2 linked regions of the Styela clava genome follow. The protein of the gene in region 2 purifies or fractionates together with the protein of the main gene of each other region. This does not show direct contact. Links are inferred from orthologs where the notes say so. Each region holds a gene or a part of one and is shown on either strand. Other genes may lie near its edges. The genes, in order: protein PAT1 homolog 1-like and U6 snRNA-associated Sm-like protein LSm1.

The links.
Region 1: the proteins of U6 snRNA-associated Sm-like protein LSm1 (region 2) and protein PAT1 homolog 1-like purify together in Homo sapiens (co-immunoprecipitation; 3 studies listed by BioGRID and IntAct, with this or other methods). This does not show direct contact. The link is inferred for Styela clava from reciprocal best matches to the Homo sapiens genes LSM1 and PATL1.

What each region holds. Positions count from the first base shown.
Region 1 is NC_135258.1:12,738,873-12,752,111, reverse strand, and holds the start of protein PAT1 homolog 1-like, read left to right. Parts: upstream 1-8,479; 5' UTR 8,480-8,710; coding exon 8,711-8,746; intron 8,747-9,821; coding exon 9,822-9,891; intron 9,892-10,113; coding exon 10,114-10,363; intron 10,364-10,746; coding exon 10,747-10,858; intron 10,859-11,327; coding exon 11,328-11,462; intron 11,463-11,877; coding exon 11,878-12,035; intron 12,036-12,587; coding exon 12,588-12,771; intron 12,772-13,239. Other genes in the region: WD repeat-containing protein 17-like, read left to right, coding at 2,418-6,302. UniProt on the Homo sapiens protein: RNA-binding protein involved in deadenylation-dependent decapping of mRNAs, leading to the degradation of mRNAs. Acts as a scaffold protein that connects deadenylation and decapping machinery.
Region 2 is NC_135262.1:4,894,004-4,905,185, reverse strand, and holds U6 snRNA-associated Sm-like protein LSm1, read right to left. Parts: upstream 4,163-11,182; 5' UTR 4,063-4,162; coding exon 3,655-4,062; 3' UTR 3,479-3,654; downstream 1-3,478. Other genes in the region: oxidoreductase NAD-binding domain-containing protein 1-like, read left to right, coding at 1-8, 90-229, 652-748, 1,130-1,399; translational activator of cytochrome c oxidase 1-like, read right to left, coding at 1,377-1,628, 2,020-2,191, 2,512-2,639, 2,711-2,823, 3,156-3,411; COX assembly mitochondrial protein 2 homolog, read left to right, coding at 9,153-9,233, 9,405-9,476. UniProt on the Homo sapiens protein: Plays a role in the degradation of histone mRNAs, the only eukaryotic mRNAs that are not polyadenylated. Probably also part of an LSm subunits-containing complex involved in the general process of mRNA degradation.

The sequences.
Region 1 (13,239 bases), on a different chromosome or scaffold from region 2:
TTGAGAATACTTGCGAAGTCTGAAATTTGATTCCTGGCTTCAAGGAATTTAAAATTTATACATTACCTGCAACCATGGTGAGTTTGAAAACATGACTATGGCCCCAATATAAAAAAGATGCATCAAATTCCTAATCACTGGTGCACATCTTGTTTTGGCTTTAGGTTTGAGAGGTGGATTGAGAGAGTATTAAGAAAATGAAAAAAAAATCCATGATAGGATTGACAAAAATTTGATGGTTTACTTTCTAATTGCTTTGTATCAACAAAATTCAGTAATAAATTGGAAAATAAATTTGCAATCGAATGTACAAGAATAGTTTCTCTGATCTTTCAAACCTATGGAAATTTATTTTTGGATCAATTTGATTCTAATTTTCTTTAAGACATTTTATAAAAATTTATAAGGCCGAATGTAAGATGTAAAGAGCATTTTAATATAATGTGTTATGAATTTTTTGAAGCTTATCATAATCTGAGTCTCTCTGTCTCTGTCATATTTTATCAATCAAGTTATCGATCAAATTTTGTTGTTGAGGGCCTAATCATGTCATGTTATGCTGATAATGCCTTCGAAATAAACTTATAATCATATCATACTGTATAAATTTATACTTTCATGTTCCTTGATTGCTTCAAACCCATTCTTTATTAAAATGTATTATATTAGAAAGATTCAGTATAACTGAATATTTATCTTTCTTCAACACCAGGTACTACTTCATGATTTGGCTTTTAAATGCTTTGATATCTCTGTAATAATTCTGAAGTGATTGGTGTAAATTATTTAATATTATATTCTATACATCTGCTTCATTGGTACATCCTTCTTTTTTATTAGATTTGACTTACAATTCAATGGATCAATTTTCTAACATGATTTGTGATTCTAAGCGGTGATAATACTTCCTTGCCATATGTAAGCTAAAGCCGGTAGTGGTAATCAATATGGATTTAATCACATACCTTAATCACAGCTAACACTATTGGTGTTAAAATGCCCATATCTAATTTTTTCAGATGTATATTCATCTAATTTTTTAAGCTCATATTCATCCTCTATTTCATATTTTACAGTATAATCATTGCAAACGTTTGATTAAAAATGTGACATACAGTTAATTTTAGCAGGAGTTCATATTTCTATATGGAGGGAAATGTTTTTATTCTAGTTGAGCGTATTCATTTTACTTGTGCCAATTTTTTTTTCTACCTCTACTTATAGCAGCGATTTCTAAACAATAGCCATTACCAATTGATATATAGGATAGGTGGTCCATAAAGTCTTTTAAATTTTTTAATTGCAAAAGGAATATATCGATACCGTATATTGTTTTGGCCTCCACAGATGTATTGAATAAAGTAAAAATACTTTAACAATTACTGATTAAAAAACAACATTGAAATTGTAAAGGGACTTCATGAAACCCTGTATTTATGATTTCAAATATCTATGCTGACATCTGTATTATATTATAGACATTGATATCTATTAATCCACAAAAAAGGTGTATTGTGTGTTGTGACTATAATAATAATATTACCATCAGAGTTATCTCATACAATGTCAAAGAATTTGGAATATAAAAGGTATATTATGTTTCATAATCCAGACAAATTTCTCCTTCATAGTGATAGACTTCATCATGGACTTCAATAAGTTTTGACAAAAGAGAAGACATATAGTGTTGTGACCTTCATTATTCATACCATTTTACTTTCATGAATTATTGAATAGTTAATGTATAATGCTGATATATATGGTGAAGAATATTAAAGCTAATGCTCTTTTTTTAACCCTTGTAGCGATTTTATCGGTCTGCTAGAAGCATGGTATTGATTTCATCCCGATAAAGATCAGCATAATATGCGTACATGCAGCACAGCTAATTGTGTTCACAGTGGTTAACACAAGATTCAGTTATGTGTAATCATAATTAGACAAGTATTTTTAGGGAAGATTTTCTTTCTAGTATAGTTCGAGAAGCATAATTTCTACACATAGTAAGGTTGCCTACGCACATTCACCCTAGAGTAAAATGCAACATCAATTCATCAAACTTCATTGTATATCATATAGGTATATTTAAAAACTGATCAGTATTTTATAAAAGCAAGAGAAGCAGCTGGTCAACTTTCACATGTGGTATCAGCTGATGCACTTTGGAGCATTAACAAATTTCTATATTAACTGACCTAGAAAACTCATTTAACTAATTACTATTGTTTCAAATTTAAAATGTTACCATAATATTTTTTTTTATCATTTAGTATTAATTTCTCCTTATATTAATGATAAACATTCGATAATAACTATGATCATACTTGAATCTTTGTGATAATTGAATGATTTCATATGATCCGATTTCTAAGTTGTAATTTCTTGGGAAATCAATCGAGATTAATTGAGACTTAAATATGATGCGTCAAATAGGACTTCTACCTGCAGGATGTCAACCTTGGTTCTCAAATATGATTGTAGGTACAATGTCAAAATTTGCATACTGTTCCACAATGGCAGTCTACATATATGAAACCTCTTCTTCCAGTCAGGAGTATAAGTTAACAGCTATCAACGCAGAACATACAAAGACAATATCTTCTATTGCATGGAATTCAAGATGCCCTAATTTAATTGCAACATTTGGTGCTGACTTGAAAATAGTAATCTGGGATGTCTCAAAACAAAAAGTAATCGCACAACTTCCAAATGTGAAGGTAGTATCTTATTGTATTGATTGGATCAACGGGCAGCCTGACCCACAAACAATTTCTTACATTGGTGTCGGTGGACAGTTAGAATCATGGAATATAAGTACTGGTAAAGTTTCTGCAGTAAAAAATATAACTTGTTCTGGTGGAGGTAAAGTAACTATGTTTCGATGGCATCATACAAAGCAGAAGACAATTGCATTTGGACATCATGATGGCAGTATTTCACTTATTATCCAAGGGAAGAGGAGAATTTTGAAGTCTGCTGACAATGATGAAACTGAGGATCCTGTAGTTGTATTAAGCTGGGATCCATTATCCAATGATTATCTCCTCGTGGCAAATAAATTAACTGGCATCCGCCTTATTGATACAAATAGTGGTTCAGTAATTTCAAATTTCTTTTTACCAAGTAGGGCTGTTTCCACTTGTTGCTTCTCATGGATCAACTCAGCTCCAGGTATGTTCTTAACTGGAGACAAAGAAACTGGAACACTAAGGCTTTGGACGGTTGGCCAGGATCAGCCGCTCGAAAATTTCAAAGTAAAAGGCACAGGCTTCAATGGAATTCATGTGCTTGATGTTACACAAGATGACAAATTCTATGATGAAAATTTACAGCCAAATTCGATGCAAAGAAAGAGTTCGCAGTCGCAAGTTTCTTCTCATTCTGTACCTCCTGCTCATGTTGTATGTACATTTCGTGATGGTGGAGTTGGTCTGTATGACTTGCAAAAGAGGAAATGGAAATTCTGTAAAGATCAAGGACATATTGAGACCATATTTGATTGCAAGTTTAAACCAGATGATCCAAGAATGCTAGCTACGGCCTCTTTCGATGGTACAGTAAAAATATGGTCAGTGAATGACTTAAGTGCAGTCAAAACATCTGTGGGAAATGAAGGTGTGATATATTCTTTATCCTGGGCACCGGATAATTTGAACTGTGTTGTTTGTGGTACTCGACGTCATGGTGCTTTTGTTTGGGATTTTACAAAAGGAAAGGTAATAAAAAGGTTTTCAGAACACGGATATGCAGCTGTTTTTTGTGTTGCTTGGAACCAGAGAGATTCTCATCGAATTGCATCCTGTTCAGAAGACAGCTATTGTATTGTTCGTAGACTTGATGGAAAAAATGTACAGAAATATCCACATCCAGACTCGGTTTATGGCTGTGACTGGAATCTCTTTGATAAGAATATATTAGCAACTGGATGTGAAGATGGCATAGTCAGGATCTGGAACGTTTCCAGCGATGTAACGACAACGTGTACCATGGAATTAATGGGTCACACAAAAAAGGTCTTCAACATCAGGTGGCACCCCCTTGTGAAAGATATTCTTTGTACTGGGTCAGATGATTGCACAATTCGGATATGGAATATTGCCAATAATGGAGATTCTACATGTATAGGAGTTTTGTCTGGACATACTTCCAAAGTTCGAGGTTTGACTTGGAATCATGAAATTCCTCATCTTTTGGTATCTGGATCATGGGACAGCACAATACGTGTATGGGATGTTAGAGAAGGCAATCAGAAGTGCTTAGAAGTGGTAACTGATCATGGTGCAGATGTGTATGGTCTTGCTTCACATGTTTCAGCACCTTTCCTTATAGCCTCTACGTCACGTGATTCCACCGTTCGTTTATGGACACTTTCTTCTTCCTTAACATTACTGTTTGCAAAAATTATTGTGGGTCATCCCCTTGATGACATTCGAGCATCTGCCACTGAAGGTTTCGGAAGTCAATCCGGATTAAAATTGGCTGGAAGTATGTCAAAACAGATTGTTCAAGAGTTGAAGAAAAAACAGAGGAAACCTATTCTGAAACATAGATGGTTTTCAGAGCTCTTCTGTGCTATACCTTCCCTAGAAAATCTCTGGGATGTTGCTTGTTGTTCCATGGGCACAAAGGATGGTTCACTTTCTACTCAGTATAAAACTGGAATATTGCATACGAGCCATATAACTAAATACAAAGCTGCAGAAGCACAAGAAATAGAGCTGTCTACAGCAAGTCACTCTTCTCCTGGAAACCGACAGCAAGAAGCTGCGTTAGAAATAGCTTCTAAAATTCATCTCAAATTAGGAAATTTACAGCGACACTGTGAATTGCTGAAGACTCTTGGTCGATGGGAGACTGCTTTGTCACTTGCACCTGGTGTATCCATAGAATACTGGAGAATTCTGGCAAAACAATATGCTAAAATTCTCAAGAAATCAAATGATGTGGAAGCGCTAAGTTATCAAATTGCAACAGGTGATAGTCAAGCATGTATTCACGATCTGATTTTAGCAGGAGATTATGAAGATGCTCTTGTAGTTGTGCAAAGTGCTATTGAGTGTCGCACTCCTTCATATGCTCCTGTTCCGAAATCTCTTCAAAATGGTGATACAAAGAGTGAAGAAACCAGTGATGATACTATTGATAGTGATGATTTAAAACGGTTGAGGACTTCTTGCATTGAAAAACTGTGGAAAAAGAAGTACTCAAATGGGGATCCATGTCGGGCGGCAACTTATTTAGTTTCTAACAATGATGTTGTTGGGGCTATGAATTGTCTCATTAATGCAAATGAATTGCTTCTTGCATTATGTGTTGGGCAGGCATTTGCTAACAAGAGCACCTCCAGTTATTTGGTGGAAGCCTCAATTCTATTTTCAAGGAAACTTGAAGCTGAAAAGCACTACTTTTTTGCGGTTGAGATTTTAAAAATACCACTGTCTGAGGGAAATGTGTTACATCAAATGTGGAGTCCTATTCATGCATCATGTGCAAGATATGATGGAGATGATGCCCATAGAGAAAATTTGTATATCTATGCAGGACTCGAATCCCCTATAATTTTTCAGCAAAAAGGTAAACAATTTCAAGAAGACGGCCAAAAGATAGAATCAATGTATTGTTTCCTGCTCTCTTCCACGCCTGAGCTTGGGTTGAAAATTGGCTTGGAATTGCTTTGCAATGAGCTGAAGTCAAGTTCATGGACATTGTCAACCCCTTCTGTTCTAAGTTTAGAAGCAGTGTTTTCTGTATCCTCTAAAATTCTTTTAAAGCCAGATGAATGTCTAAGTAAGAACATTTTACTTGCAATATCAGCGTATATGGGAGCATTGAAAGCTATCAACAGTGGATACTTTTCTGTTGTCACTCCCTTATTTGAACATGCAATAGCAATGGCTGAAAGAATTGAATTGATGCCCAACAGCAGCAATAATACATTTCCGTTCAATTCTCAAGAACTACGACAAGATTTAGCTGAGTGGAAACAATATGTTTCTTCACTTAATCAAAAACAGGTGAAGAAGGAAGGTGTTGAAAGAGAGCAATCTGTTGAAAAAATTCTCCATAGAGCAGAAGTCGAGACAATGGTGATTGATCCTGCAAATGAAACGATTGTTGCTGGATCAGGTTTGCCATCTCATTCTGACGTTAATATTTCCTCCTTAACGAACAAAAGAATAAGAGGACCAGTGTTTTGGTTGGAGGATCATAAAACTGTAATATCACTCAATGAAGCCATTATGTGGGCGAGAGTGAATCAGTTTTCACCAACGGGATCTGGAGAGAGAATAATACCGTTTTAGTGTTCTTGATTTTGTTTTTAGTTCAAATCATAGCAGAGTATCATATTGCTTTATAATTATATTTTTATCAAACACCACTGTCTCATCAAATAATTAATAGTGTTTAGATCTCGACTAGTATTGCACTGTTTTTTTATAATTTGCTTATTATTTTTTTACGTTGTGCGAGGTGTTAATTTTAGGATTTTGCACATATTGGTTGTTTCTTTTGTGATATGTTTAGAAAAACCTCACACTGGTATGAAGATGTCACAAGTTGAAGGTGATCAATGGAATAACGATAGCTTGCCACCAAGGCCTGACTCCAAATTTAAAAAAAATAAATCGTTTTACATTCGTTCGCTGGGAACGTCGGTGATCCAGATTATTTTAGTTTCATTTAAAGAATTCAATACTGTCTTTTGGACGTCTGAAATTGCACTTTTTGTTAGTTGAAAATTGTTTCGACTTCCATATGTGTCAGATGGATCTGGCACAGTGAGCTAGTAAACTAACTCACACACAACCTGGAAAATACATCCATTTACCGAATTTACAATCGCGGAAATTTGTTACTAGAAAAGATAATTGCGCCAATCTGATAGAATAAGAGGTGTCTGCTTTTTAGCAGTGCGTTGTATAATTTGAATATTATTTAATGCCATGAAACTGGGAAATTGAAAAAGCGGCGGACCTTCGCTTGTGCGATGCATTTCGTACGACTCCATGGCTGGTAAACAACAGGCTGAAAGTGGGTACGAGTATTGTCGAACATAAGTTTATTTCGACTCCGTGATTAGCGTAACAGTAATTTAGGTCGAGGTTAAGGTTTTGCCCAAGAAGCAGTAAGTGTTCTCTCGTTTAAAAGTGTTAAATTAGTTCACAGAAACGTATGCACACAAAACTTCAGGGTTATGAGGAAGTAGAAAATATCCTACGCGGGAGACTGTAGATAAAATAATAAATGGAAAAAGTTTATAAAAATTGATTGCCGCGTCATATTGATAATTTTACAACAGTTGCCAAATTGAATATGAATATTGTAAATAAAAATATTTATTAAAAATGATATCGCCAAGCTGATTATGGTTGGAATCGAATGCCAAATTGACCAGAGGTGGGCTAGGCCCAAGTTTGATTATATCACACTATCACACACATTGTTCAAGTCAAATCCACACCAAACCCTTAAGTAAACACAAAATACATTGCGGACATTAGAAAAAAAAAAGCATATCAATTTAGAATCACATAGTTAAGATAGGAGAGCTGATATATATATATATATATATATATGAGCTCCTTGGTATCCGAATAAATAAAGTTATGCCTTATTCGAAGATGACGATGTTTTCACGCTGTATATACATAATGTCCTGACATTTAATTTTTGTCTACGGAAAGATAAAATACAATTACAGACCAGGATGAAACTGGAATCTGCCATTTCTATATGCAAAACGCCATCTCTGGCGATGCCGTAATATTGTACAACAATGAAATTAGGCATCAAGTGTCGATACCCTGATTGCCCTGCGTTGGTTAGAACTATATGAGACAATATTAGTAAGATGGTATCCCGAAGTTTCCGTCATCGTGTGGACTTCTTATCATTCGCTTTCATCCATATTCAAGTCTACGAACCTGGAATAATTAAGTAGTTATCTATTCTATTCATCGACATGGGTAGTTCGCTATTGACCCTTCTTTCACAGAAATAAATATGAAAATCGCATTTATTCTGCGTCCGATAGCAGCATACGAAAAAGAGAGTGGAGAGAATAATAATAAAATTCCAAGTACAACGTCGAATGAATCAGGGCATTGTCTGTCATCGGAACAAACTGAATTCGTGCGGTTCTTGCCAAATGGTTGATGACGGTAAACTTCCGCATTTCGCCCCAATAAGAATATATGTTCGCCCATAAGAACGGAAGCTTCTTTTGGCGACATTTCAAAACCGAAATAGAACAAAGTGATAAGTTTTTGAACGTTCGTGGATATCCAAGCTTTCCACATGTGGTAATCCTCGTACACAAAAGTCACTTGATTTAGGACATTCATATTTTCGCTTTACATTTTACACGCTTTACATTTTGGAGACAATGTGGATGTCCATACTAAAAAGTATACTACATATCCGAAACGATCTTTTCTTTTTTGTTTTTGATGTTCTATAGTCTATACCGTTCCTTTACAAATTTGCCACTAGATGCCATAAGTATTTGTCAGTCACGGACGTTGGAGGTGTCTCTGCGTTTTCGTATATTGCGTTTTATACCGGTAACTTAGCTGGTTTCATTACCGGTTTTTGTGAAAGCACTCTTTGAATGTTGAAATGGAGCTTCAGGACATAACTTAGTAAAGACATTGTTACGTGTGAATACAAAATAAAGGAAGCAGAGGGGTTAGTTGGCGTGAATGAAAAAATGAGCGACCCCTTTTTCTTTGCTTCAAAATCTCAGGTGAGATATAAAAATGTTCTAATCAAATAGAATTATGTATGTGTGGGTAAAATGTGCGTTTTTAGTCTGCTCATTGACTTTAAGTCATGTGTGATAGTTTTACTGGTACCGTATTGGACAGTTGTATTCCAGTATTTTTTATACTTTTCTGAAGCAATCTGACTGTCAAGTGGATACCAAGTCCTTAACTTTTTTTAGTCAGAGGTTCAAATTTTAAAATGCTTTAGTTAGGATTTTGTTATTTCGAATTCAATCAAAACTTTTTTATCCAAATCTGAAAACTGGAAAATGGGGAGTTGAAATTTTGTCGAATGGGTTGTATTTATATGAATTAAGTTTTGAGTCTCATGTAGTTTCGTACCTCAAGTACTTCTAGTGGGCGTAGCAAAACGATTTTTGCACATGTCAATCCTAACCCCCACCTGACTACACCATCCAAAATTACTTCACAATCACGTCATAGAGCTTGCCAAAGTATACCTACGGTCACCCGAAATGGCATCTGCATCGACGATAAAGAACTCACTAACAACAACGATCTCTCACTGATCGGGATTGTTGCGACGCGAAAACGAGAGAAATATCTTGCTTGATTTCGGGTGATCGTCTGCGCGTCTTGGATGACAATTTGCATAGTTTGAAGAGCCTTATTACTACACTAGACCCTAATTTTTGATGTCTTATATCATGGATAAAAATTTGCACAGATCTAGAAGTAGTGACCACAGAAAACCCCACAAATATCAAAGCAAACTGCTGAACAATTTAGTTATATTAAAGGGCCCTTAATCCTGTATTGCGGCTGAATGAAGTCAGTATTCAACAATTGATTGTACTTCATATAGTCATAGGAATATTGGCTCAAGGCAATGGCACAAAAATTTATAGGACTCATACAAGAGACCCATGTTTTGCCATGTAATTAAGCTGAAGATATTTGAAAAATCCAAACTTGTTTGCTTAATATATTAATAGACTTAAGTAAAAAAACAGTTGCGGTAAAGAAGTTTTCAGAATGTTCTAACCTCATCATATAACCAGATTTTAGTTACTGACCAAACTACTTATTATTCAGTTTCGTAAGGATGATTCGAGAAGAAATATTGACCTTCTGAATGATGAAACATTTGGATCTGGAGCTGTTGGTGAGATCTTTATTTTTTAAAAGCAATTAATACTTGTAATATAGTAAGGCGTTATTTTGCAAGCTGTCTTTTTATCCTACTCTCACAGACTCACACATGGAGTTTTAGATATGGCCTAGTGGCATATGATGCATTTTTGCGTCTGTACATGTCTGTCTGTTTTGAGTCTGCCTTCAGAGTAAATTGTATGTATTTTCAAACCTTACCAATATATTCTTGAAGATGATAACTGGGAAGATGAACATAATCAATTTGTTGAACAAAATTCACGGGGTAGTAGTCTTAGTGCAGTTGGGCGAATGGAAGATTATCTTGATGAAGATGAATTGGAACTATCAAATCAACAACTCGCAGCTGCAGTAGAAGAACTGGTCTTGAACAGCGACCAGGATCAAGATGCAATTGATCCTGCCATTGTTAGCTTGCGTAAAGAATCACGAATGGGTTCATATGATCCAAGACTAACAGAAGAGTAAGTTAAAGAGTTTATTGTAGAAATTTGGCAGCGGAATAAGTTACCAATTCTGCGTCTTTTTATTAACCTCAATTATTCAACCTATTGACTTTAAATATACCATAACAATTACCGGTATGTTCATCATTTAAACTATTTTTATTAGCATTCAACAAACAATAATTTTAGGATCATGTTTTATCGTCCCTAATATGTAATTTCGACGACAATAGTCCCTTTTTTTGGAAGCTTCAATTATTAACAAATATTTTAGATTCTCACCAAAATTTTGTTTTAACTTTGAGGTATGAATTGCTGTATTTCATTGATTAATGATATTATAAAACTTGTTTAATCAAGCCATATTACTCTGTTTTTACATAATACTATTCTTATTCCAGTCTCATATCACCATATATGGGTGAAAGGAATAATTTTGGTAGAATAACTCCGACATATTCTTCACAAAATTCTTCATCTTCATCAGCTTCACTCTTTCAAACTGATGGATTGGTGAGAGTTATTTATTGTATATTTCACATTAGCAACAGTGTAATGTACCGGTACTTGTTGCAATTCATTAAAATCTTTTGCAAGTTCTTTTAAGAATAGTTATCATCAATTTGGCGCATATGATAGCAATTAAAGTATAGGTTGATATACGCTTTACAAGTTCTACATACTCATACCACATACATTACTGGTCTATTTCTGGGACTCGCCTAATATGTGTAGGGTTGGGCCATAATTTTATTTCGACTTTCCTTATTTTAGTTCTATTACGAGTTCGGGGACTGTTTGTGTTAGCCAAGTGAATATACATACCCGCTTTCTATAGGCTTTCGTCTGTAAAATAGGCGTACAAAATTAGTTACCTCAATATTGATACACATACTTCTGGAGCGCCCTATTTCTACCAAAATTTTTTTAAATAGCCTAGTAATTTGGATATAAAAATCTGTAAATTTGAATATTTTTACAGCGTAATATCTGGAGTAATACTGATCTGGAGGTTCAAGACTCGTTAACAAAGTCACCATCCATGATATTGGAACGTCAAATGTTGAATGAAAAGTTGAAGAAAATGATGACTAAAACTACGTCACCCGAATTTGAGGCAAGTTTTTTGCTCGCTTTTTTTATCTTGTCATTTGTTCATTTTAATGTTGGATATGCCTTTGTTTAATTCTGAATTTCTGAAAAATTGATTTTGCTTGCATAAAAATAAGAAATTTTGAGGACATACCAGATATGGTATTATATTCTTAGGAATGTTAATAAGCTCCTGTGGTATGAATTTTTTTGTCTTGAGGAAAGGGTTTCGGGCAGAAATGAATAACGTATTGCCGTTCAAATTTTTCAATTTTCAATGCCTATTTATTAAGCTTTGCGTTTGGATACTACTATAAAAAAATTATCCATAAAATAGCACACTTGCAAAATATTTAGGCATTTGTTTTTGTGTCTAAAATCATCCTGATATTATTACTTTTTATTTTTAATGCTATTAGTAGTTTAATTTTATATTATAGGATGAAGCAATTCTTTCAGCTGTAAAAGCAAATCCCATGCCACAAAGTTGGCCAATAACGTCGCAATCTGAAGATTTACTTCGTCACATGTTTGCTCAGAAACAATCTATGTTAAGAGCTGAGGACTTGGAGAGGGAATTCTCGGGTAGTCAACTGAGGTAAGCAGAATGTAATTTACAGTGAAATTGATTTTCATTTATATCATGATTTTTGAAAATAAACATGTTGGATCGTCCTTTCTGCCACTTACTGGGATGAAAAAATTTGATGCAAATGTGTAAGTTTAAATAGAATTATATTGACGGAATGGGATATACCTTTAGCTGATCACCATGCAATTATAATAACTCGTAATTTTTTTACCTGATACAAATGTCAAATCTCATTCTAATTCACTGTATGGGTGGAAACAATTTTGTGTTTGCATGGCACACCAGATTAGGAATTAATAACAGAACTGAATAAGGTTTGTCTGGCATGTTGTGTTTAGGTATATATAGGAGATATAATATCTTGTTCCTAGAGGATTGATGTTACTGTGACTACAAATTCCTGCTATTTCTTGCCTTGAAATAACAATTTGACTATGCACAATCCATTGTGTTATTACTCAGTTATTGATAAGATTAACCTATATTTTAATTTATTTCTAGAACACTACAGGCTAAATTATATCTCTGGGATTTAATGTTTGTTATTTTTCCATGCAGGGGACCATCTCCAACATTTGGTATTAGCATTCCTAAAGACAATGACCTGAATCATAATGGAATGGATAGATCACTGCCTGCAAGATCAGTATCTCCGATCATTGGTAGCCCAACATCACATGCTTTGCCGATTGGAACACCACCTAAACATATAGCTGATATGATGCATCAAGCACACAAACAGGTTAGTGAGTTAACATAATATAGGCATACTTGAGCTGTGGGGTCATTTTTGGCATGTTTGAATTGATATTAGAGCTGGAGTCGTATGGTCAAACTAATTTCAGCTGGAGTCGAAATTTTGAATTTGTACGTTACTGAATTTCAGACTTTTAATATTGATGGTAATCAATATCAAAATTCGGACCTCCAGAAGTATGCGCACCAAGATGGCGCACAACCTGAACATAGTATGTGTGTACCGGTCAGGATTCACGTTGTGCGACATCTTGGTGCGCATACTTCTGGAGCACCCAAAATTCTATGCAGAAACTTAAAGGCATTAGCCAACTACGCTATATCTAACAATTGAAAATACGCAAAATCTTCTGTTAATTCAGTTCATTTTTCTTGGGGCTGAGTCCGTTAAAAAAAATTCTGTCAACTGTAAGTGTGTCAGAGTCGTTCTTTTAAAAAGGTTTGCGGATGGATT
Region 2 (11,182 bases):
ATGAACAGGTAGGCGAAGAAATTGAGATTTGAACTTTGTTGGTTTGACCATTTCAACTCCATCCGTAACAAAACCTTTTCTATCAATAGTGTCATGTAGGTTCAACTGTCATTTTGTGCTTTGGTGGGGATTTCTATCATGATCCAGTGGCCGAAAGAGATGAACATTTACTGTTAATATCAGCAGGAGTCGGAATCAACCCCATCTACTCAATTTTAAGAGAAAGAAGGTAGGTGTCTTGATAAGAGTTAATCAGTATTTGGTAACAGGTTCTTACATATTTGCTGGTTTAGCAGGTTTGTGTTTAAAATTCATTTGCTTAAATGGATTAGCTGGCTGAATCGTATATCAAAACACGGCGCTACAGAAGTGTGTGTACCAATATGGAGATACCTAATTTTGTTCGCCCACTTTACATCAAGTTGTGTAAAGGGACTGAAGCCTATGGGCAGGGGGTATATTCTCTAGGCTAACACAGACAGTCCCCCGGACTCGTATTGGAACTAAAATAAGGAAAATCGGAATGAAATTATGGCATAACCCTAACCTGGTACAGATAAACCAGTTATTACACATACATAGACTCTGTTTTGTACCTGATATTTCCTAATAATTAAAATCATGTTAATTAAATAAATTGGTATATTTCAGTGCTTTTCTCAGACAAGATCCTCAAAGGTACTCCGATAATAAAATCTCAACAATGCTGCTATACTGTGCAAGGACAGCAGAGGAACTACTATTTAAGGTTAGACTTTCATGATATTAATTCCGTCTGATTACTAAGTACTTGACTGCAAATAAGACAATTTTTCCAGTATTCCATAATGGAAAAACTCTCCAATTCTATTAATTGCAACACCGTATATGAATTGAAACATATAATGTAGCAGAAGATCACAATTTTTGGCGCTCAAGAAGTGTATGTACCAATACGAAGGTAACTAACTTTGTTCGCCTACTTTAGTTGTGTAAAGGGACTGATTAGTATGGGCAGGTGGTATGTTCATTTGGTTAATACAGACAGTCCCCGAACTCGTTAATAGAACTAAAACAAGGAAAATCGGAATAAAATTATTGCCTAACCCTAACATGGCACACATACTAGGGAGTACCCATTTTTTTGCAGGATGAAATTCAACACATCTGCAGAGTAACACCTAACACAGAATATGAACTATTTGTCACTCAAGAAAATAAATTACAGCAAATAGAAGATGAAATTCCTATTCATTATGGACGAATATCACAAGATCATTTACAAAGAACGGTGAATTCCTTTCAAAAGAGTCCACTGTGTTATATATGTGGTCCACCTGGTTTTATCGATGCAACAGTAGTTAAATTAGAAAATTTAGGGCTTCACAGTGATAATGTTAAATATGAGAAGTGGTGGTGAGACCATTTACATTATGAAACATATCTATAAATTCAAACTTCTGTGGTATTCTAGCATCCAATTTGGTTAGTGTTTGATAAAATAGTTTTGCAGTTGTCAAATCTCGATCCTCTAAGTCGATGTATGAATTTGGCACATATTCAGTTTTGGATTGAAATATTATCAATTCATTTAGATCTGTTTCAATTGCTTCTTCAACCGTTTTATGCCCAGACTCGTTGCATGTGAACTGAAACAAATTGTTGAATTTTATGCAATATAGTATTTATATGTGCAAAGATGTATCTATGAAAGGGATAAGTGAAGGGTTGTTGTTTAATATAATAAGGGAATTATCCAAGTAATTCAGAGAGTCTTGTCGGGGCAAATTACAATATAAATCAGGTATAGCCAAAATCGAATATTGCAGAATAGTAAAGTCAAAAAGAACACAATATATTATATCTCTATTTTCATGTTAATGAAATTAATTTCTAAGATCACGAATTTAATGTAGCCTTGCAAATTGGCGCATCGTAAACAAACCTGGTATCGCATTGTTTTAGTTGTATTTACTGTAGCATTTATACCTACTTCAAAACAACTACTTGCAACAAACATCATTGTGATCTTTTCAATACCTTTAATAGACTGCCTTGGTCATCACTCACAATTTCCACATCCTCTGCTCCAATCTCTATAGCAATTTCTGTTGCTTTTTCTTCGGTAATTTCATTATCTTTAATATGTCCAATGTCTGTGATAATAATCCTTTTCCGGTCGAACTGTATTTGAGAGTCGGAAACCAATGAACTGAAAAATAGTTCTTTTACTTTTATTGGGAAAATAGAGCTCCAAAAGAATGCAGCATTTAAAGTAAATAAAAGTAGAGATTAACTTTCATCTAAATCGTGCTTTACAATCCCGGCACAAACTGTTATTTTTGCCAATCGATTGTGATACGAGTTATGCTTCCATGCAATGGAGATGTATTTGAAAAGTCATCAGTTTCGACTTCAATTTAACAACAGTATTTGAGTCATTCTTATGTGTAATATTGTTAGAAAGCTTGAAGAAAATGAACAGGGTACATGGCATAGAAGGGTTAAATCCATTCGAAGAACAAAACTTACAATTGCGGTAACATCTTTATTGCAGACAACATTGCAAGCTTTGCATTATGCTTCGCAGTTGATCCGCAGATAATAAGATATGTTGAATGGCCTGGGCCACTGAGCGCAAAAGAAAATTCTTCACTTGCCTATAAAAAAGTATATGTATAAATAAAATGATATAAATAAATATCCCATGATGCGGTAATGTATCACTTGCCTGTCTCGCTGATAGAGCTTTATCTATACTTGACTTCATCATATTTGCCTTTTTACATTCTTGTATTGCAGCAGCCAACTGCTTATTTTTTTTTGGATCATTGCCCCCTCCCTCTGAAAAACATGGGATTAGCTTAATTTCATTATCATCAGGTCTGCATATTACGCAAGAGTATTTGTTTATCTCCTTGTTTAAGCTTTTCGCTCTGAACAAGGCAAGTACAAGCAACACTTATATCCAAGGAGCTGATATACCAGGATCCTACCGGTTTAACATTACCTTTCGAATTGATTTTACACTGGTTTGGTCGTTGGAATGGGATTTGAACACGAAATGCATAACCTGCATTGCCAACGCGGTTTACTAGAATTAGCCAGTGAGGAATAGAATGGAAATCTGAAAACCTATGAGTGCTATGACATGTTATAGTACAATCATTTTTTACCTCTTATTGCGATTTCCAATCTACGAGCAAGATTCGAAAACAACTTTGCTTTTGCTCTCTCACCAGACTCCTTAGTGCGTCTAAAACTATCATAAAACATTTTGCCCCCATGGCATTGATTTGTCATCCCAAGTGCTCGAATTTGTGAGGAAAAACATCCTGATTGGAAGGCAGTTATAAAAAGGACTTTTTGCGTTAGCAGTGAGGGTACAGCCGCTTTAACGAGTTGGCATGTAAGCTTGATTATGAAAACCATATTGAAACTCTTCCAAACTTGAAAATGTTGCTTCCATTTACATTGTGATTAAAATTCTACTGTAATATCTTTGAAAGAAGAGAATATTTATAAATAAAAAGACTACTAAAAAGTAACGAAATTTCATTTCCAGCATGTTTGGACCTTCACACATAATTTTCATCTGAGCAATAGCTATATGTTACGCACACAAACACAATCATGATTGACAAGATATTATAGTTTGTTAAATATCTGCTGCGCTTAAAATGCATCATCCTGCTGTTCAACATTCGAAGAGAGTCCTCTTTCTTTCATTGCTTTCAATTTTGCTTTTTTCTCTTCCATATGCTCTTCTTGTTGTTTACGCTGTGCTTGCAATATTTCTTCAACAGACACTTTTTCAAGGTTCAAGTCACTTTCATTGTCCATTTCTCCATCTACTTCTCCAAGGAGAACAACATTTTCACCTCGGACAACAAATATTCCTCTTGGTATATCACCATATTTTTTACCGACATGTATTCGCTCAATAGTCCGGTGAATTACCAAGTTAGCAAACTGATCAATGCTTCGTAATATCCCAATAAGAGTTCGACCATCTCGCAAAACCACAAGTTGTTTTTTATCAATTTCTTCAATCAAGCTTGCTGTTCCAGGCATATAATCCATAATTACACTAATATGCCTGCATCAGATATTAGATTTTTAATACTGTTCACAATACCAGCATACAACAGATTTCCCTGAAAATACAGAAATGACACTTAAAAATGAACCTGCTGACAGCAGTCACAAATAGGCATCTTATAGGAATGAAGGAAGGATTTACATATTTATCCCAGGGGAGAGGAAAGCCAATAAAACAGCTTAGTCATATGGCGAATCACGGCCTCTCGTAGGGTTACCGGTCCAGGTCGGGTATGGGATTAGTTAGCCAGTTATTTGTTTTCAGAAGCATGAACTTGATGGTGGCGGAAGCCGTAACCGACCAGTGGTTACGTGAACCACCCTACGGCGGTGGGGAGTCTAGCATTCACACATGATCATCCCCGCATGGGATTCGAACCTGCGAATTCACGAAGGGTAATCAGAGATGCGGTGGCGAGCGTATTCCTAACGCTTAGCACGATGCGCCACACTGCTGAGCCAAATAAATAAATATTAATACCTCTTCGGGTACACCTAGTACAACTACAAAATACCCACGATATAAATATAGCGGTATAAACATCTTCAACACTTGTATAACAACAATGTATCACAATAATTGGCAATTACTACAATTAAGACTAGACAAATTATGACTAGTAAAAGCACTGGAAAGGACATTAGATAATTATGGTACCCTCGTACCCAATGGTATAAGAATAAGTTTATTTCGACTCCATAATCAGCAAAATAAGCGATAAAAAATAGATGAAAACAAAAATAACTGATTATAGAATCGGGAGAGTGAACAAAACTTTGAGTAAGGTTTGAAACTTACAGATTTTAGATGGAAAGGTATTGATAAAAGAAGTAGTACGTTTTCGCTCACCCAAAAGAAAAAAAATTAATTAGGGGAACGCACCCACACACACAATCATCGAGACATGAAACTGTCGGAAGTGAAAAAAGGAGACTTAAAATCAATTAAATGGTATTGCTAACCAATTGAAACCACAAATGTCGAAAAACAGACTATCTAATTTTCTTCAATATCGTATTTGGGACGATTATATATGAACGAACTTCAAACAATCTCCCATTTCAAACAATTTAACCAGGTGCTTTTTTTCAATTTTAGCCCAGTCTATCCAACTATCGCAGCTTTTTCGTGACTGATTTTGGATTGCTGCATCTAAAATAAAACTGCTCGGAAGACCGCACTGAGTGCTGATTGATCATTAAATTATTTCTGGCTGACCGGTCCCTACCCGACATAGATTCACCGTCTCATCGGTCTACTTCTCTGTATGAAAATATGTGAATACTATCCTTTACATTTTACAACCGGTTCCCGTACATTTGAACCCACGCTTTGCACCTGCATATTATTGCACCTATGAAATTTTTTTTTGTTTTACATATATTTGAACCCATGCTAACCCTAACCCATGGGTTTTAGCATCCGGATATAGATTGAACCCGCGGGTATACGCATGGGTTCAAATGTACGGTCACCTTTACAACCATGCTTATAACCACCGACGGTGTCGGAGAGCTCAGTCGTCAGTCTAGCAGTCCTCTGGCATATAATTACCGGTGTGCGCAGGGGTTTAGAAATGCTAGAGGTCATAAGTACTAGACTTATATGCAGATACAGAGCATCCCGAGGAGGAAGAAAATGGGATATACCGTACCGGTACCGGTACAGTAGCGTAGGTATTGTAGGCTACCGGTACCGGTACCTATTTTTTCTAACTGCCGGTATGAACATTGTCCTACTGCAGTACCATACTGTCCTGAAGTAAAATTTTATGACAAGTCTCGCTTTTTTCACTTCCGACCTTCACCTGACTATGTCACCCAAAAATTACATCATTTCGACGTCACAGTGGCGTACGGTAATAAGGCCCACCAAAGTATGCGAATGGTCGTCCAAAGCGCGCAGACGATCACCCGAAATCGAGCAAGCTATTTCTCTCGTTTTCTCAAGTGCAGTTTCAAGTATTTTGTGGCGTCTACAGCTGCCGCAAAACCATGGCGGGATTTCCAAACCACGGCCACTAAGACCAAACCCACGGCGACTGACTTTTTAGCTGCCACAAACCAATAGCGAGCTGCCGTGGTTACGGCAGCAAATCGAATACCACCAATTTTACTGCCGTAACCACGGCAGGTCGGCTGTAATAGCAGGGCTGCCCCTAATCTGCTGATGGTGATAAATATTTGGTGAGTTGGAATGTTTTTCTTATGGATACAGTTTGGATGGATTTGGGGTTAGGGTTAGAGTTTAAGTAGATATAATTTCGCATGATAAACTAAAATATGGTACCTAAATTTGTAAATATACCGGTAATAGCGCCATAAAACCATGGCAGGAGACGGCGTGGTACGTTCGTGGCAGGAGCTGCCATGAAGTGGTAAGAACTGCGCCTCCGTTTTCTTGTCACAATTATCACGATAGGAGAGAGATTGCCGGCTTTAGCGAGTTCGTTATCGGCGGCGCAGATGCCATTTCGGACGATCGTAATCATACTTTGGCAAGCCCTACTGCCCTATGACATGACTGCATGATGGTGACGTAATTTTTGGATGGCATAGTCAGGTGGGGGTTGGGCATAACATATGCAAAATTCGTTATGATACGCCAACTGGAAGTACTTGTGGTACTAAACTATACTAGACCCGATGCTTGTATGTGCGTGCGTGCCTTAATTAGTTTTAATACTTTTGGGTGAGTGAACATGTACGGTACTACTTCTTTTATTAATACCTTCCCATCTAAAATCTGTATGCTTCAAATCTTACTTGAGGTTTCGTTTGCTTTCTCGATTCTATAATCAGTGTTTTATATTTTGTTTTTATCAATTATTTTAGGTCTACTGCTGATTATTGAGTCAAAATAAACTTATACTTATAATCAAGATTATGCAATACCGTGATGATTTTTCCAATTACCGGTTGGTTTCAGAAGAAAAGACGATATTTATTATATCCTACCTCAGAATGGATTTTCCTCTTGTCACAATCTATGTTTTTGATGAGCGGTTGGCACATTGCAAGTACCTTATTAGATCATACCTCTAATTACTGGATTACCTTGTGTGGGTTCACAAATTCAAATCTTGTAGGGTGTAGTTGGGTATAAGAGAATTGCTGGACGCATGCCATTGCAGGGTGATTTAGGCATAGTTGGTGGATTGCAGCTCCCTCCACCATTAGGGCCGGGGTTTGTCATATGATAAGGCTATCTTATCGGCTTCCCTCAATATCCATGGGACAAATATAAAATTCCTATTCTATTACTGTATTATATTTATAGTGAATAATCTCAAACATTCTATAACAGCTCAATTGAATATTTTAAATACTGTAAATCTTCATACTGTGTGGATGAGAGCTACCTCTCACAATCTATTTGTATTTGGTCAAATTTCATCAAAATATTAATGTCACCCCGACTTCATGTTTCGTAAATTTGCTTCTGGTATAGTTTGGAGTACACTGGGAACTAAGAATATGGCAAATTTGTCAAATAACAACTCATGGAAAGAAGGAATTTTAAGAAAACGAAAAGGCAGAACTCCTGATAAAATTAAACGATTTAAAAGCAGTGCCTTCAGAAGATCATCCATCGAAAGGGAAAAACAATGTGAAAAAAGAATTTTGACTGAACCAACTTCTTATTTTGCATCGAAACGATTGAGACTCTTGTCAATTCAAAGCTCAAACCTTGCTCTTGCGAACTGCAGGATCTTAGCAAAACCAGAGCAAAGTGATAGAAAAAATTCATCTTTGTCAAATATACTTGTTGCACTTGATTGTGAAATGGTTGAATGTCAAGGTGTCACTAATTCACTGGCTCGTTGCTCAATTATTAACTACGATGGACAAACTGTACTTGATTTGTTTGTAAAGCAAACTTTAAGAGTCGTTGACTATCGAACTCCTCATAGTGGAATGACTAAAAAACTACTGAATAGTGACACTTGCGTTACCTTCCTAGAAGCACAGAAACAAGTTAAAAAAGCCATTGAAGGGAAACTTGTTGTTGGACATAGTATTCATAACGATCTCACTGCTTTAGAGATGAGTCATCCGAAACAACATACAATTGATATTGGTTATGGTTCTGCAAGAAAATTAATCGACCAATACAGAGAAAAATACTCATTATGTTTAAATAGATCTTCTTTGAAATTTTTTGCAAAACAGTTGCTCGATCGAAAAATACAACACAATCGCCATTGTTCTGTAGAAGATGCAACTGCCACGTTGGATATTTTTAAATTAGTTGAAAATGAGTGGCTCGCAACTCATAGGGGTGTTCTTGATAGTTTGATTTTGCAAGAAGATTCATATTTTGAAGATAAATATTGGCCGAGCCATATCATGAATGAATGATAGGTTATTGTTAACACTACAAATTAATAAATTCCATATTCACTTGAAGTTTATTAAGGTCATATTTAGTATAATTTTACATCAATTCATTCGTTTTAAAATTGGTGTTCACTCATTTACTCCATAGTTTATGTTTGTATTTGATTTTGACAGTCGAATTGTATGCATACAATATATCATACCTACAACCCAGACATGTTATTGGAAAAATAAGAATTGTATCTAGATTGCAGTTTGCTCTTTTAAGCAATGAGTTGTTTTCACACCTACACTCAAAGCAAAGCTCTTGAGAAGCAGTTAACAGATATGTGAAAATATTTTCTGAGAACTGGAGACTTTCTCATCAAGCAAATGGCAAAACATATGTTTTCCGCATTGTATATCATATTTATATATATCTGTGGTGTATGATAGTATTTGAAGATTGGAAACAAGGCTGTTAATGTGGAAGTAAAAATGTGTGGCCAGTATTTTTGTCTGGTTAATAAATATTTTATGCTATAGGACAACTCTTAACAAAATATGCATATCAGACTTACCTGAGTTTAGACATTGTACTTTGCATGTATACATTCGGCAAAAGGAGTTTTCACTGTTAGGAAATTGTATTTTCTGTTTTCATTTATGACGTTTCGTGAACATCAGTTTCCAAGAACTGCCAGCTAAAATTTTTGGTGATAAGTTTCAGACTATTCATTTGTTATATAAAAATGCACCCAAATCTTTCCCCGCATCTTCATACTCCAGAATGCAATGAAAAGATCTATGCTCTTTTGATGTGCAGAAAACAGGTATCTATTATTTTGTGATAAATACAATACAGGACCATTTGGTGATTCATTTATTGAGGTCATTAATGGCTTAAAATTTTGGTTGAAAAAAATGATAACCAATAAGAATAACAGGAAAGGTGTTCATAATATTTATTTACGAAGTGACAATATTCAAATTTTTATTTTCAGCATCCGTTCAAGCAATATTTTGGAGCATGTAACCGTGCTGATCATGAGATGTTAGCTTGCTTCAGGAGGGAGGTATGATAATAGATTCTTACGGTAGTTTATTTTACAGACGGTAATAATATAAATGAATTAAATGTTACTTGGATGCCTTTTTGTAAATCCTTTGTTGGGTGTTTTAGAAATAACTTCCTTCCAAAATTGCATCAGATGGACAGACTCGAGCATAGATTGTATTTGATCTTTGATAGAGAAAATTAATCTAGGAAATTGTATTAATTATGAACCTTTCGTATTTTATTTTAAATAAGATACTTTTCAATAACCATTAAGTTTTACATTTCATAACAATGGCATTAAGAATCGGATGACAATTTTCGGTTTCTTGTCTTTGCAAAATTATGGACTCTTTCGATCCTTCACGTATATTTGCGAACCCCTTTTAATAAACTAGTCAACAGATATATAAATGGTCCATATATGAAGCAATGTTATCAGCTCGTAAAAACGGCTTTGAATTCAGAGAATGTTATAAGATGTCCTTCCCTCAGAAATTTCTTGTTTAAATGAGATTCTCAGAATAAACAGTGTCAATCTTTATGTTAAATCCAATAATCTTTTGAGAAAAATCTTGCGTTAACCCATAACCTGGTTTCTATAGGTTCCAGTATGGGGTTTACTAGGGCAGTGGCTCCCAAACTGTGGGTCACGACCCCGGATGGGGTTGCGTGAAGATTTGCCGGGGTCGCCTAATTTCTGTCAAACATGCACACATAAGTGACTAAGAATTGGAAGCCGGTAATTGAAATTTGTTTTGGTCGGCAATTAGGGTTGCCAACTATGAAAATTCTCAATAAAGGACATAGATTACCATCATCATTTATTTTGTAACTTGCAGGAAAGAACAATATAAAACAATTAAATACAAATTATATACAAGCTAAAAAGATATATTAAAAAATTTTCATTTGTTTTTCATTTAATGTTTATTTAACATTGATCCAATCAAGCTGCATTCTGTGAACAGTTTAGTGCTTTGAATCGTGTCAAATTTTTTTTTGAATGAGTGCAACTTCATCAAATAGGTCAAACATATTCAAATTAAGTTTGTTTTTTAGCTTCAAATGCTCTACAATTTTTATTTTTACAAGTGTCTGATATTTTGGAGAAAGTTATTGAACTAGAATTCACTCAAATCTTGGAGTGTTGCCACTTGCCATCTTCGGAAAATTAATGTAAAATATTTGAAATTGTTAATAAAATTGGTATTTCTTGGCTATTTGCTATTTGTGCCATACCAAAGCGAAATTAAAAAGAATAATTAAAAAAGAATAATCGGGCAAAACGACGCTGGAAAAAATAAAGGACAATTATCATCCTAAAAAGGACAGGGAAAAAATCTCAAATATAGGATTGTCCTTTGAAATAAAGGACGGTTGGCAACCCTATCGGCAATTATCGTGAACTTGTCTAACTTGGATTTTAACTGGATTTTTCAGCAATAATTTGGCCATTTTTCGTCCAAACGGCGCCGAAAATGCTTATTAAAACTTTCATGTAGTGCTTAACCTTTCCTGGTGGTCGGCAAGTATTTGTTTATTATTTTGTGCAGCGGAGAAGTTGAATGGTGTACTTGGCAGTCTAAATTGTTATCTGGCTTACTATCTTTTTGGTAGGGAATATATGTTAACAATTTTGGCATCATAGAAAACTAGAAATCGAATGCTGATTCTATTAGCCTAGGTTGGCTATGCCAGATAACTAAATATTAATGTTATGGC